Cricetulus griseus: one gene and its partner. The protein of the gene in region 1 interacts with the protein of each later gene in a pairwise test. Links are inferred from orthologs where the notes say so. Each region holds a gene or a part of one and is shown in the gene's direction. Other genes may lie near its edges.

The links. The genes of interacting proteins can lie anywhere in the genome.
Region 2: the proteins of Psma3 (region 1) and Aurkb interact in a two-hybrid assay, tested with the Homo sapiens proteins (2 studies listed by BioGRID and IntAct). The link is inferred for Cricetulus griseus from reciprocal best matches to the Homo sapiens genes PSMA3 and AURKB.

Annotation. Positions count from the first base shown.
Region 1 is NC_048598.1:132,403,092-132,410,078, reverse strand, and holds the start of Psma3 (proteasome subunit alpha type-3), read left to right. Parts: upstream 1-3,134; 5' UTR 3,135-3,149; coding exon 3,150-3,284; intron 3,285-3,492; coding exon 3,493-3,575; intron 3,576-6,987. UniProt on the Homo sapiens protein: Component of the 20S core proteasome complex involved in the proteolytic degradation of most intracellular proteins. This complex plays numerous essential roles within the cell by associating with different regulatory particles.
Region 2 is NC_048600.1:82,923,671-82,930,657, forward strand, and holds the end of Aurkb (aurora kinase B), read left to right. Parts: intron 1-465; coding exon 466-568; intron 569-675; coding exon 676-727; intron 728-878; coding exon 879-1,070; intron 1,071-1,232; coding exon of another isoform or gene 1,233-1,266; coding exon 1,267-1,405; coding exon of another isoform or gene 1,406-1,418; intron 1,419-1,488; coding exon 1,489-1,637; intron 1,638-3,532; coding exon 3,533-3,707; intron 3,708-4,109; coding exon 4,110-4,271; 3' UTR 4,272-4,767; downstream 4,768-6,987. UniProt on the Homo sapiens protein: Serine/threonine-protein kinase component of the chromosomal passenger complex (CPC), a complex that acts as a key regulator of mitosis.

The DNA of each region.
Region 1 (6,987 bases):
TTGCTTCTATTTAAACCCAAATGCCACATCAGGACTCTGAAGATGAACTTGAAGGGCAACGGGGGGTCACTGGGCCTTTTTGTTCCTCTTTCTTAAATGGGCACACTTGAATAAATAAATCTCCTTCCGGCTTTTAAGTACTCTTGTCTGTAACGGGTTTACTGAGGACAGGTGCCCAAGCCTAGTTAGCTCGTTAGGACTATCAGGGAGCAGGCAATGACCTTAGATCTCCTAGTAAACAGTGACAGTTACAGTTTCACCAGCCTCTCCAAGGATCCGCCTCTCTGGCTTCTGCGCATGCGCGTCTCCAGCTCGCCCTCTCCTTTTCCTACAATCCTCTGCGTAGCCCGCGGAAAGAGCCGCAAAAGCAAAGGCTATTGGTGGACAGCGCAGCCAATGGGCGAGCCTGTTACTAGGCTACGCAGTGAGCGGCGTAGGAGCGGCACTTCGGGCCTGGAAGCTCTGCGCGGCCTCCGGAGTTGGCACCATGAGCTCCATTGGGACCGGGGTGAGTCTCTCCGCGCCGCCTTCTCCGGCCGGCGTTGAACGGAGTGCGGGGGGGACCGGCCGCTGGAGCCCGGGCGCTGCCTGAGTCCTGGGGACCCGTGGCCTCCGCCGCGTCCCAGGCCCTCATCTCGGTGACCCCGGCTTCGGCGGCGTTTCGGGCCCGTTGTGGCCGCCCCAGTGCAGCCAAAACCAGGGTTGCTGAGTCACTTTCTTCCGCTGCTTGAAGAAACCGAAAGTGAAAACTGGTGCGGCCTGCCCTAGTGCGAGCATTCGCGCCCCCCCACCCCAGGCGAGCCCCTGCTGCTTGCTGCGTCTGGGTGGCTCTGGAGCCCGTCGTGTGGCCCGCCCGTGCGGGTGCTGCGGTGCCGCTGACTCACGGGCCTCTTGGGGCCTCACGTCACCAGGCAGTCCCCGGACACCTATCGTGACAGGACCTCAAAGGCTCGATCGCATGAGTTCTTTGCCTTTTCCTTCGTTTGCTTTTCCCGAACGAATTATTTTTGGCAAGGGTTATCTAGGGACCGCAGTGCCTCAGATTTTTGTGAAGAGTTTTGAAGATTTGCAAGTTGGGCTTTTTAATTTGCTAAACACATCCCGTGTGCAGTGATTTCCTCCACCTTTCCTTTGTCTCCATATGTTAACTACTTAACGGATATCTGTTGATTATCTGCAGTAGAGGTAATGAGTAATAGGTTTTCTTGGTTATCCTTATTTCCATGATTTTGATGTTCGCCTGATGTGGTGGCGCACACCCTTAATCACAGCACTTGGGAGATAGAGGCAGGAGGATCTCTGATTTCCAGGCCAACCTGGTCTACACAGTGGGTTCCAGGACAACATAAAGAGACCTCGTCTTTAAAAAACTTTTTTTCTATGCTCAGAATTAAATCTACTTACTGGTGTTTGGAATGATTTAATTGGTTACGAGGTACTGAAGTAGTAATGTCATGTGATAACGTTTGTTGGGATTAGTGCTTAGTAATGCACCTCACAGTAAATTTGCTTTGCAGTTGTGTCAGGGTTGCCGTCCAAACATCGATGGTCATCTGATATTCCATGTGGAATATTTAGTATGAAAGTAATAACCAAGCCTTAGGAAGTTTCACTGTTGAAGGCCTCTTTCCTGGCTTCAGGTCCCTCAAGAGTTGTGTCCCTCAAGAGTTGTAAATTTCTGTCCATTTGGGTTTTTTTTTCCCCCCTCTAACCTCTACTGCTGGGCAGAAGGAAAGGCCAACCCAGGGCAAGTCACTGAGTTCCAAATCTAGGTGAGTTCCATTCCTAGCTCTACAAGTGCTTTTTTATTTTTGTTTTTATGTTTAATTGTGTCCCCAAAGGTTAGTTCCTTCTTTATTGTATAGTCAAAGCCACTATTGTGAGCTCACACTTGTTGCCTCTAAATTTGTTTCAGCCCAAGTCAGAGTGATTTTTTTTGTTTCAGCCCAAGTCAGATTTTTTTTTTTTTTTTTGAAACAGGGTTTCTCTGTGGCTTTGGAGCCTATCCTGGAACTAGCTCTTGTAGACCAGGCTGGTCTGGAACTCACAGAGATCCGCTTGCCTCTGTCTCCCGAAAGCTGGATTAAAGGCATGCGCCACCAACACCCGGGTTGTTTTTTTTTTTTTTTTTTTTTTTTTTTTTTTTTTAAATGCTTGAATTTGGGCCTGTGAAATGGCTCACTTGGTAAAGGTTAAAGGTGCTTGCTACCAAGACTTGGAACAGCTGAGTTCAATCCCTGAAATGCTGAGTTCAGTTCCCAGGTCCCACATGGTAGGAAGAGAGCTGACTCTGGAAAGTTGTCCCCTGACCTCTCGATGTACACCAGGGCACATGCACTATAGGTAAATGTAAACAATGTGAAGTAGATCACACCACCTCCTCATTCACATCAAGAATAAAATGTAAACTACCTTCCCCAACCTAGTTTGGCTCTCTAGCATGTTTTAGATTTACTCACTCTTGCTTGTTCCTCCTCCACTTAAAAGACACCAGTTCCTTGGCTTGGGCTATGCTTATTCCTTCCACAGTATGAGCACAGTATGTGCTCATTAAATGTTGATGAATACTAAATGATTTATTTAACCAGGGTCTTTCCTTGGTTCCTGGCTTAGATACAAATGTAAATGATCTGACTTTAATATTTATACAATACTCCTTTTTTTGAGACAGGGTTTCTCGATAACAGCCCTGAACTCAGGCTGGAATTCACTTTGTATACCAGGCTGGCTTCCAACTCAGACATCTGGCTGCTTCTGCCTCCTGAGTGAGTGCTGGAATTAAAGGCCTGTGCCACCATATCCAGCAGCAATACTTTAAAAAAAAAAAAAAAAAGTTGTGTAAAAAAGTTCTGACCTTGGGGCTGGAGAGATGGCTCAGAGGTTAAGAGCACCAACTGCTCTTCCAGAGGTCCTGAGTTCAATTCCTAGCATCCACATGGTGGCTCACAACCATCCGTTATGAGATCTGGTGCCCTCTTCTGGTGTGCAGATGTACATGGAAGCAGAATGTTGTATATATAATAAAATCTTAAAAATAAAAAAAGTTCTGACCTTAAGGTTTGTATTCATTTTTGTAATTTTTTTATTAGCTCAAATTAGATTTGTATCCATTATTTAAACTTCCTTTTTAGATATTTTATGTTACGTGTATGTATGTGGATCCTCTACATGCCAAATGGAGGCCAGGAGAGGGCTTTGGATCCCCTGGAACTGGAATTACAGATGGTTCTAAACCATCATGTGAGTTCTGGGAACCCAACCCATATCCTCTGCAACAGAAACAGGTACTCTTAACAGCTGAGCCATATCTCTTGTTATTTAGACCCATTACTTTTCAGTAGGAGACATCTAAGGTGTGTAGTTATCTCTGAGCAACAAAGCATTTTCCACTAGGATATAACATTCCTGGTGTTTGAGCTGTTTGGAAAAAATTATATGACTGTTGTTGGCGAAGACATGTCCTATAAACTCTGTTGCTCTCTTTGTTGTCAGTATGACCTGTCAGCCTCTACGTTCTCTCCTGATGGAAGAGTCTTTCAAGTTGAGTATGCTATGAAGGCTGTGGAAAACAGTAGGTAAGAAACATTGTTTTACTTGAGTGAATGTTTTAAACAGGAATTATCTTTTATCTTGTATGTTTTGGCAGTCAGATTTTGTATATTGCTTTAGCTTACACAAATACCATACCCTGAAGTAATTTCAACTTTTTTTTTTGGTTTTTCGAGACAGGGTTTCTCTGTGGCTTTGGAGGTTATCCTGGAACTAGCTCTTGTAGACCAGGCTGGTCTCAAACTCACAGAGATCCGCCTGCCTCTGCCTTCCGAGTGCTGGGATTAAAGGCGTGCACCACCAACACCTGGCTTTTAATGCAACTTTTTGAATATTTTTCTTTTACTTTATTTTTATTCCATATGCATTGGTGTTTTACCTGCATATGTATGTCTGTATTTCGGGTGTTAGGTCCCCTGGAACTGGAGTTAGAGGCAGTTGTGAGTTGTCATGTGGGCGTTGGGAAGTGAACCTTGGTCCTTTATTTTTTTAAGCAATTTTTTATTTTATTTGCATTGGTATTTTATCTGAATGTATGTCTGTGTGAGGGTGTCAGATCTTGGAATTACAGACAGTTGTGAGCTGTGATATGGGTGCTGGGAATTGAACCTGGGTCCTCTGGAAGAGCAGCCAGTGCTTTTAACAGCTGAGCCATCTCTTCAGCCTCCCCTTTATTTTTTTTAAAAAAGTCGTACTGTGTAGCCTTGGCTGGTCTGGAACTCTATATGTAGGTCAGGGTGACCTAAGGAGATTTGTCTGTCTCTGCCTTCCAGCTGCTGGCTTTAAAGGTATATACCATCATGCCTGGCAAGATTTTTTTTCTATATAAAGTAATAACTGGGACCTCAGAGATAACTCAGTGGCTAAGAGTATGTGCTGCACAATCATGAGGGTGGTGGTGCAGATCCCAGTGCCACCAACTAGCTTAGCTTCCAGTGGCTGCCTGTAACTCAGATCTGAGGCTTCCACTGCTGCCCTCTTCTGCCCTCTGTACATTTACTCACACAGACAATAACTGATGTGCACACACACACATATTTTAAGAAAACTGTTCAGGCCAGGTGGTGGTGGCGGCGGCGCACGCCTTTAGTCTCAGCAGTACTCGGGAGGCAGAGACAGGCAGATCTCTTGAATCTGGTCTACATAGCAAGTTCCAGGACAGCTAGGGTGTTACACATAGAAACCCTGTCTTGAAAAACCAAAACAAAAAAAAAAAACAAAGGGAAAAACTGTTGGGAATGTAGTTAAGTTGGTAGAGTGCTTGCTGCTTGTGTAGTATGCATTAAGTCCCATATTTGACCTTCAGCACCCATAAAGTGGGTATCATGTTTAAACAGGTAGAAAACATTTAAGCTAATAATTTTAAGATTGTGTTCTGTATCAAAGGATAATTAATTTTTTTCTTGTGTTGGGTGTATAATAGGAAAGTGCTTTGCCATTACCAATACTTGTTAAGTTTAAGAAACACCAAAATAATTAGGGGCATACAAGTAGGTGCCTAAAAATGACTATATTAGAATTACATATGCTGTTTTGTGAAAGTGTTCTTAGGGAACTGGAGAGATGGCTTAGCAGTTAAGACTGTGTACTGTTTTTTGCAGAGGACCTGAGTTTGGTTCCCAGCACCTACATGGCAGCTCATAACCACCTAAAACTCAGGGGGATCTTGCACCTCTGATCTCCATAGGTTTCTGCATTCTCTCTCTCTCTCTAAGAAATAAAGAGATAGTATGCTCTGGGTGGCTATATGAAAAGGCAAAGATGATATTTTGGTCTCTTTAGTCTCATCGAAGAACCTAGCCATGAAAATTCTTATAAGGACTAGATTGTTAGGCCTCAGACTCAAAAAGTCTCACCTGCCTCTACTCCCGAGTTCTTTTAAAGGAGTGCATCTCTACACCCAACTGGAAAAGTTTTGTTTTTTCGAGATGAGTTTTTGTTTTGTGTGTGTGTGTGTGTGTTGGTGTTCTAGTGTACGCGCACAAGCATAGAGAGCAGGGGACAATTTGTGGGATTGTTGTGGACAGTCGAGCTTGGACTAAACTTGGGTCATAATGCTTATCCATTACCATTATCAGCCATCTTAACAGCCCCACAAATTTTTATATCTTTATTTTGTTTTACATATTTAGTATATAGCCAAAACTGACATAGGACTTGCTATGTTGCCTAGACCTTAAAACTTGTGGTTTCAGCCTTCTAAATGCTGGGATTACAGACATGTGTCACTATGCACAGGTTTTTGTATATTTTATATTTTAAAAAGCTCTTGGGGAATCTCAAAAAGCTTTTATTTCTGCAGTCCATAGGTTATATTAGTACTTAATAGAAGTAAAAACTCAATATTTAAATATTAGTTTACTTAAATAATAGAAATGTTTACATGTATCTGTTAAAAGTAATAGTTCTTTGCCTCTCTCCTGGATCCCTGAATGTCTTTGAGGGAGTATTCCTAACCAGACACTCCCATCCCTGTCAGATGGGAGCTGGCAGAAGCCCAAGGGCAGTGACCCACAGAAGAGAGGTCTTAACACCTGAGTTCGACTGTTGATGCAGTCATTACTTAATGATGGGCATAGTCTTTTTTTTTTTTTTTTTTTAAAGGAAGGGAATTTCTTTTAGATTTTATTTATTATGTATACAACATTCTGCTTCCATGTATATCTGCACACCAGAAGAGGGCACCAGATCTCATAACGGATGGTTGTGAGCCACCATGTGGGTGCTGGGAATTGAACTCAGGACCTCTGGAAGAGCAGTTGGTGCTCTTAACCCCAGCCATCTCTCCAGCCTTGGGCATACAATGTTTTTGCTTCAGCTTCTTCATTTGTAAAATAGAGATAATAGTACTGTTTTTCAAAGCTCTTGAATAAAATAGCCAGTATATGGGGCCTGCAGGTTGGTAATATAGTTCAGTGGTAGAGTACTGCCTAGCATGTAAGCTTCTTAGGCCCCATCCTCAGCACCACACAAAGAGAAAAATCACAGATTGACAGGAGAATTTATTGGTTGTTAAAACAAATACCTAATGATATATTGCTGACCTGTTTGCTACTTAATATTACTAATACTACTAATATTTAATATTTATTAAAATTGGTTGTAATTGTAAATATAGTTAGCTAACTTTACACATGAGCTCTACAGGTTCAACCAGCTGAAGTTAAAAAAACAAAAACAAAAAACAAAAAAAAAATCCTCAGGAGAGCTGGGTGGTGGTTGCACACCTTTAATCCCAGCACTCAGGAAGCAGAGGCAGGTGGGTCTCTTGAGTTCAAGGCCAGCCTGGTCTACAGGGAGTTCTAGAACAGCCAAGGTTGTTACACAGAGAAAACGTGTTGAGTAACAAAACAAAACAAAAAAACCCAAAACTTAGAAAGGGCCCAGAATGTAGTTTACTGGTAACGTGCTTGCCTAGCATGCACAAAACCCTGGGTT
Region 2 (6,987 bases), on another chromosome or scaffold:
GATGTTAAAACAAGGCCTTATTTAGCTCACACTGGCCTTGAACTGACTGTTGAGGATTGTCTTGAACTCCTGATCAAGGGCCTCCACCTCCTAAGTGCTGGGGTTACTGATGTGTGCCAGGAGACAGGGTTTCTCTGTGTAGCTTTGGAGCCTATCCTGGCACTCGCTCTGGAGTTCAGGCTGGCCTTGAACTCACAGCGATCCGCCTGCCTCTGCCTCCTGAGTGCTGGGATTAAAGGCATGCGCCACCAACGCCCAGCCTCAGGTTGTTTCTTAATAACCCATTTCTTCTGGAGCAATGAGCAGACCTCTGGGGCTAGGTAGTCAAACCATGGTGTATCACTATTGTTTGAACTGTGAGTGGATGGATGGACTCTTTAACAAGTAGCTGAAACGGTGCTTATAGCACATTCCAGCTAGACCACAGGGACAAGAACACACTCAGAGCTTCCCTTTTTTCCTCAGTCTCATTCAGGCCTGAACACCCTGCCCCAGAGAGTCCTGCAGAAGGAGTCTGCTGTGACATCTGCACTTGCCCTCATGAACCGGTCCAATGGCCAGTCCACAGGTACCTGGGACAATGGGGAGAGGACTGGCCCAAGGGGACCAGAATCCAAGAGAGGGTATAAGGCGAGAATGTCAAAGAGGAACTCAACATGCCTGCTCTCTCCTTAGCTGCCCCTGGCCAGAAGTTGGCTGAAAATGTCAGTCGGGGCTCCAATGCCTTGTAAGTACCCCAGAGTAAGTCGGGGAACTTAAACTGTGGTGAGGCTGAAATGGGGAAATTAAAGGGAACACAGATAGAGAGAAATCAAACACCTTAGAATCTGAGCCAGCCAGCCCTGAGCTAGCTGCCTTCCCCCCACTTTATTAATCAGGCGGTCCCTCACTATTGACGACTTTGAGATTGGGCGTCCTCTGGGCAAAGGCAAATTTGGAAATGTGTACTTGGCTCGGGAGAAAAAAAGTCATTTCATCGTGGCACTCAAGATCCTCTTCAAGTCTCAGATTGAGAAGGAGGGAGTGGAGCACCAGCTGCGCCGAGAGATCGAAATCCAGGCACACCTGCAGTATGCTACTCACCCCTGGCCCTGGCCCCTCTGCCAACCTCATCACCCCACATTCCTATTTCTGCATCCCCAGCCCTGTCTTACACCATCTGGACCACCTACCCAGCTCTTCCTTATACTTCCACCCTGATCTAGGTCTTTGCCATCTGTCCTGTCTCCTAGATGCAAGCCGAAGCTTCCTTTCTCTTTGCCCCAGACATCCCAACATTCTTCGGCTCTACAACTACTTCTATGACCGGCGTAGGATCTACTTGATACTGGAATATGCCCCGAGGGGGGAACTCTACAAGGAACTACAGAAGAACAGAACTTTCGATGAGCAGCGGACAGCCACGGTCAGGATCCGGTGTGGGGCATGAGGCTGTGGCTATTGCTGGAAGTGGAGGCCTGTTTGACCTTCTGCTATGAACTCTCGTAGATCATGGAGGAGCTGTCGGATGCACTGATGTACTGCCACAAGAAGAAGGTGATTCACAGGGACATAAAACCTGAGAACCTGCTGTTAGGTCTCCAGGGCGAACTGAAGATTGCGGACTTTGGCTGGTCTGTGCATGCTCCCTCCCTGAGGTATGGTGGGGCTCGGGGGCTGTCCCTCGTGTGAGGCTGTGATATACAGCTCTTCTGCAAGTTGTTCCTTGAGATGGGGTTTGTCTCCATGCAATATAGATGTAGCAAAGTCTTTACAAAAATAGGTAACACAATAATTCATGCTCTAAATTTTCTACTCTTTCTATGAAATATAGTGGGCCCTCTCTTACCATATCATTGTGGAAACTCCCACATGATTGATTGATTGATTGATTGATTGATTGATTGATTGATTGAAACAGGGTCCTATGTAGCACAGAATGACTTCAAACTCACTATATAGCCAAAGATAACCTTAAATTTCTGATCACCCTCCAAACATAGCTGAGTTACAGGCAAGCATCACCATGTCAAGTTTACCCCTGCCGACCCTGTTCATTCTAAGGAGATACGGCCTCACCGAGTTCCCCGGGCTGTTTTTAAAGGCCCAGGTGCAAATGAGTATCTGGTATCACAGGCATACGCTGACATGCCTGGTTACCAAGGTCACATTTTATTTGATTTGGTTTGGTTTTAGTGTTGAGGATGGAACCCAGGGCATTGCCTATGTTAGGAAAATGCTCTTTCACTGAGCCACATCCCTCAGAACCGCTTCCCAGTTTTTTAACTGTTTGGTTTTTTTTGAGACAGCGTTTCTCTGAGTAGCCCTGGCTATACTGGAACTCACTTTGTAGACCAGGCTGGCGGCCTCAAACTCAAAGAGATCCACCCGCCTCTGCTTCTTCCTGAGTGCTGGGATTAAAGGTGTGCTTACTATTGCTTGGCCTCTTCTTTTTAATAATTTATGTGCATTGGTGTTTTGTCTGCATGCATGTCTGTGTGAGGGTGTCAGATCTTGGAGTTACAGATAATTGTAAGCTGCCATGTGGGTGCTGGGAATTGAACCTTGGTCCTGCAATCAGTGCTCTTAACCACCGACAAATCTCTCCAGACCTCCTCTTCACAGTTTTGTTTGTTTGTTTGTTTGGGCTTTTTTTTTTTTGGTTTTTTGAGACAGGGTTTCTCTGTGTAGCTTTGGAGCCTATCCTGGCACTCAAGCTGGAGACCACGCTGGCCTCGAACTCACAGAGATCCGCCTGCCTCTGCCTCCCAAGTGCTGGGATTAAAGGCATGCACCACCAACGCCCGGCTCTCTTTACAGTTTTTAGACAAGATTTTACCCTGTAGGCCTACCTGGCCTCAGACTGACAATTTACCTCAAATGTCCAATTAAGCCAGAGGTAGTGGCTTATTCCTTTCAGTCCAGCCCTAGTGAGGCAATGGAAGGTGGATCTCTCTGAGGTTAAGTCCAGTCTGGTCTACTTAGTGAGTTCCAGGCCAGCCAAGGCTGTATTATAGAGAGAACCTGTATCAATATTAACAAAACAAAAATCTTGCCAAGGATTGGGATTAGAGGTGTATATCACAGTATCTGGTGACCTGATCATTGTTTAACACTTCTTGGTATTGCACAGTAAAAATATAAACCGACTTATTTAAGTAGTGTATATTCGGTGGATATTAGAGATGTTTTCTGTTTCTTCTTTGAAATGAGCATTGCCCTCATCTCTGATTGTTTTTATTTATTTTTTACTTATTGAGATTAAGATAGCTGGGCGGTGGTGATGCACACCTTTAGTCCCAGCACTTGGGAGGCAGAGGCAGGCAGATCTCTGAGTTTGAGGCCAGCCTGATCTACAGAGTTAGTTCCAGGACAGTCTCCAGGACAGTCTCCAAAGCTATACACAAAGAAACTCTGTCTCAAAAAAACAAAAAATTAAGATAATCCATTAGTGTGGCCAGACCTTCCTGGGATCTCTGAGCTGCCTACTATCAAGTAAAGAGAAAAGAGAGGCTGATTTTTTCGAGGCCCTACCCACTTCTCATCCCATCAGGAGGAAGACCATGTGTGGCACCCTGGACTATCTGCCCCCAGAGATGATTGAGGGGCGCATGCATAACGAAATGGTAGACCTGTGGTGCATCGGGGTGCTCTGCTATGAACTGATGGTGGGGAACCCACCCTTTGAGAGCCCTAGCCACAGTGAGACATACCGTCGGATTGTCAAGGTAGGATACCTGCCTGGGCTCTGTGTGCTGTGGAAGCCAGGGTCTGGGGTGGGCAGGGTAGATTTATAGGGCTCTGCACAGTCTCCCTATTTCATGAGCAGTACTTATTCTCTGACAACTTCATACAAATGCACCTTGATCACCCACCCCGACTCCTTTCCCAACACATGCCCCACCCACCGTCATGTCCTTTTTCTTTTTATAGCCCCCTGAGACCAGCTAGTGCTGCCAGCAACCTACCTGTACCCACACTCCCAAAGGAAAATGACTTCCTTTCTTTCCCTCAGCAGCCATCCATTGTTAATAATGCCTCCTTTGGGGGTTGCAAAAATCTCTTGAGTTGTCAAGGAAAATGTAGTCAGGGTAACACAGGTGAAACCTTTCTCTTTTCTTCCTCTGCAGGTGGACCTGAAGTTCCCTCCTTCTGTACCTGAGGGGGCCCAGGACCTCATCTCCAAGCTGCTCAAGCATAAACCCTCAGATCGGCTGCCCCTGGCCCAGGTCGCAGCTCACCCTTGGGTGCGGGCCCACTCTAGGAGGGTACTGTCTCCCTCTGCCCTTTAGACTGCTTTCTTCATTTTTGTCTCTGTTGTTTGTATATTTGTGTATGTGTTGGGGGGAGGGAGGGTTGCTCACAACCATCCCCAAATCCCGTTCTAAGGAATCTGACCTGTCTTCTGACCTCCACAGGCAAAACCATGCACACATGTGGTGCACATATGTGCAGACAAAACATATATAAAACAACAACAAAAAAAACACAGTACTGGAGAGATGGCTGAGCAGGGCTGTTTTTCCAGAGAACCAGGAGTTCAGTTCACAGTATACCACATGGTGCTTACAACCATCCGTAGCACTAGGCATGGATGTGGCACACATATACACAGTCAGAATTTTAAGGAGCCATAGAGTCTGATTTCTTTCAATTTGCCAAATGTTTTAAAATACCGTAAGTCAAAAATGCATTAATCCGTGAAACATGTTTAGTCTAGCCTATCTTAAAATTCAGAAAAATTATGTAGCACAAAGTATATTTTATAATAAAGTCTTAAATATTTCATGTTTTTGAATACTGTTTTGAGAGTAAAAAGTAGTGGTTATACTTTGGTAACATTATGAAGCCAAAAACCCCAAGTTAGCTTGGCATGTTGGTCCATGCACTCAGGGGGCTGAGTCAGGAGAATCACCATAAGTCTGGGACATCTTGGACTACAAATCACGTTCCAGGACACACAGTGATGCAAGTAAAACCTTTGCCTGCTCATGGGACTCTCTTCCTCCTGTTGGGCTGCTGTGTCCAACTTAAATTTGAAAGTTTTGCATAAGGGGACAGAGGAAGCTAGGGAGGAGTGGGGTGAATAGAACAAAGCATTATGGGGCTGGACTCAGCACTTAAGAACTCAGATTTGGTTCCAAAGAACTCAGGTTAGGCAAATTCACAACCATGGGATCTGACCTTTTTGTGGCTGTACACATGCACATGAATTTAAAAAAGTGTAATGGTATACATGTTTGAAAATGCCACAATTAAGTCTATTTCTTTATTATATTCTAATAAATTGTAATTTTAAGAAAATCCACAATTTGGTCAAAGTCCTCAGGAGCCAGTCACTTGCCCCAAACCCATCAGCTAGTAATCAAACCCCAGAACATAACTGTTTGGGGACATCAAAGGTTCAAACCATAGCACCATCCTATATATGGACTATTATGTAGTTCTTTTTAAATAAACATTTAATCAGTTGGTGGTGGTGAAACTATGAGAACATCTGGAACAGAGAGGAGCAGAGAACCAACTCAAAAAAAATTGTTCATTTATTTTGAGTGTGTTCCATGTTTGCTCTCACACCATGGCTCTTACGTGGAAGTTGAAGGACAAGTTCCCTCCTTTTCTACCATGTGGGACCCAGGGATTTAACTTGGGCTGCTGGGCTGCTAGTTGCCTACATCTCATAATCAGCTATATCTTGTGGATAAAAAATTATGTGTCTGCTCTGAACATACAAGAAATAAAGCTTGTTGGGGGTGGGGGTCAGGTGTATGGTGCCTCATGCCTGAATCCTAGCACTAGGGAGGCTCAGGCAGAAACATCTTGAGTTCAAGGCAAGCTGGGCTGCAGGAGTGTGGGCCACAAGACTTAGCCATATTGCTTAGAAGAGCAGACAGTGGGAAGGGGAGCACAGGAAAGGAGTTATGTAATGGAACTACTGTCTGTTGTGGAATGTTTGCTATAGGAGACAGGTGGAGTAGGCAGAAGACTAAGATGTATGAAGTGATGGTAGCTCAGCCTCACGTGAAGGCACTACATTCTGCCACTCTGGAAAGGCAACAGTACTCAAAACAAATTGGTGGAAAAACTAGCTAACAAGGTCAATAAAACAAGCCAGGCATTGGTGGTGCACACCTTTAATCCCAGCACTAAGGAGGCAGAGGCAGGAGGAGTTCGAGACCAGCCTGGTCTATGAGAGCTAGTTCCAGGACAGCCTCCAAAGCCACAGAGAAACCCTGTCTTTTGAAAAACAAAAACAACAACAACAAAAATCAATAAAACAAATAGCAGCACATGCTGTTGAGGATCAGGGGAAAGGAAAGCACTTATTCCTTGCTGGTGGGAGCGCAAACTTGTACAGCCACTATGGAAATCAGTAGAACAGTTCCTCAGGAAGCTGGAGATGGATGCACCTCAAGATCCTGCTATATCACTCTTGGGCATATACCCAAAGGACTCTACATCCTACTACAGGGACACTTACTCATCCATGACCATTCATAATAGAATTAAAAACAGCCTAGATGTCCATCAACTGATGAATGGATAACGGAAATGTGATATTTTTACACTACGACACTACAGGTGAATGAATAGAACTAGGAAAAAAATTATTCCGAGTGGGGTAACCCAGGCCCAAAAAGACAAAGATTGTTTTCTCTTATTTGTGGATGTTAGCTTTTAAGCTTTTGATGTGTGCTACAGTTTGAATAAGCACAAAGGTTAGGTACCTTGTAAACAGCTAGGGGTTAGGAGAGGATCTCTAAGAACAGGAAATAGAATATGTTATGGAGAAACGGGAGGGCTGGCAACTAACTAAATGGCATTTTTAAAAACATAGGAAGGCCAGACAGTGGTGGCACACACCTTTAATCCCAGCACTTCAGAGACAGAGGCCACCCTGGTCTACAGAATGAGTACCAGGACAGTCAAGGCTACACAGAGAAACCCTGTCTCGAAAAACCAAATAAACAACTATATGAAAAATCTGTAGAAGCTTCCTAAAATCTA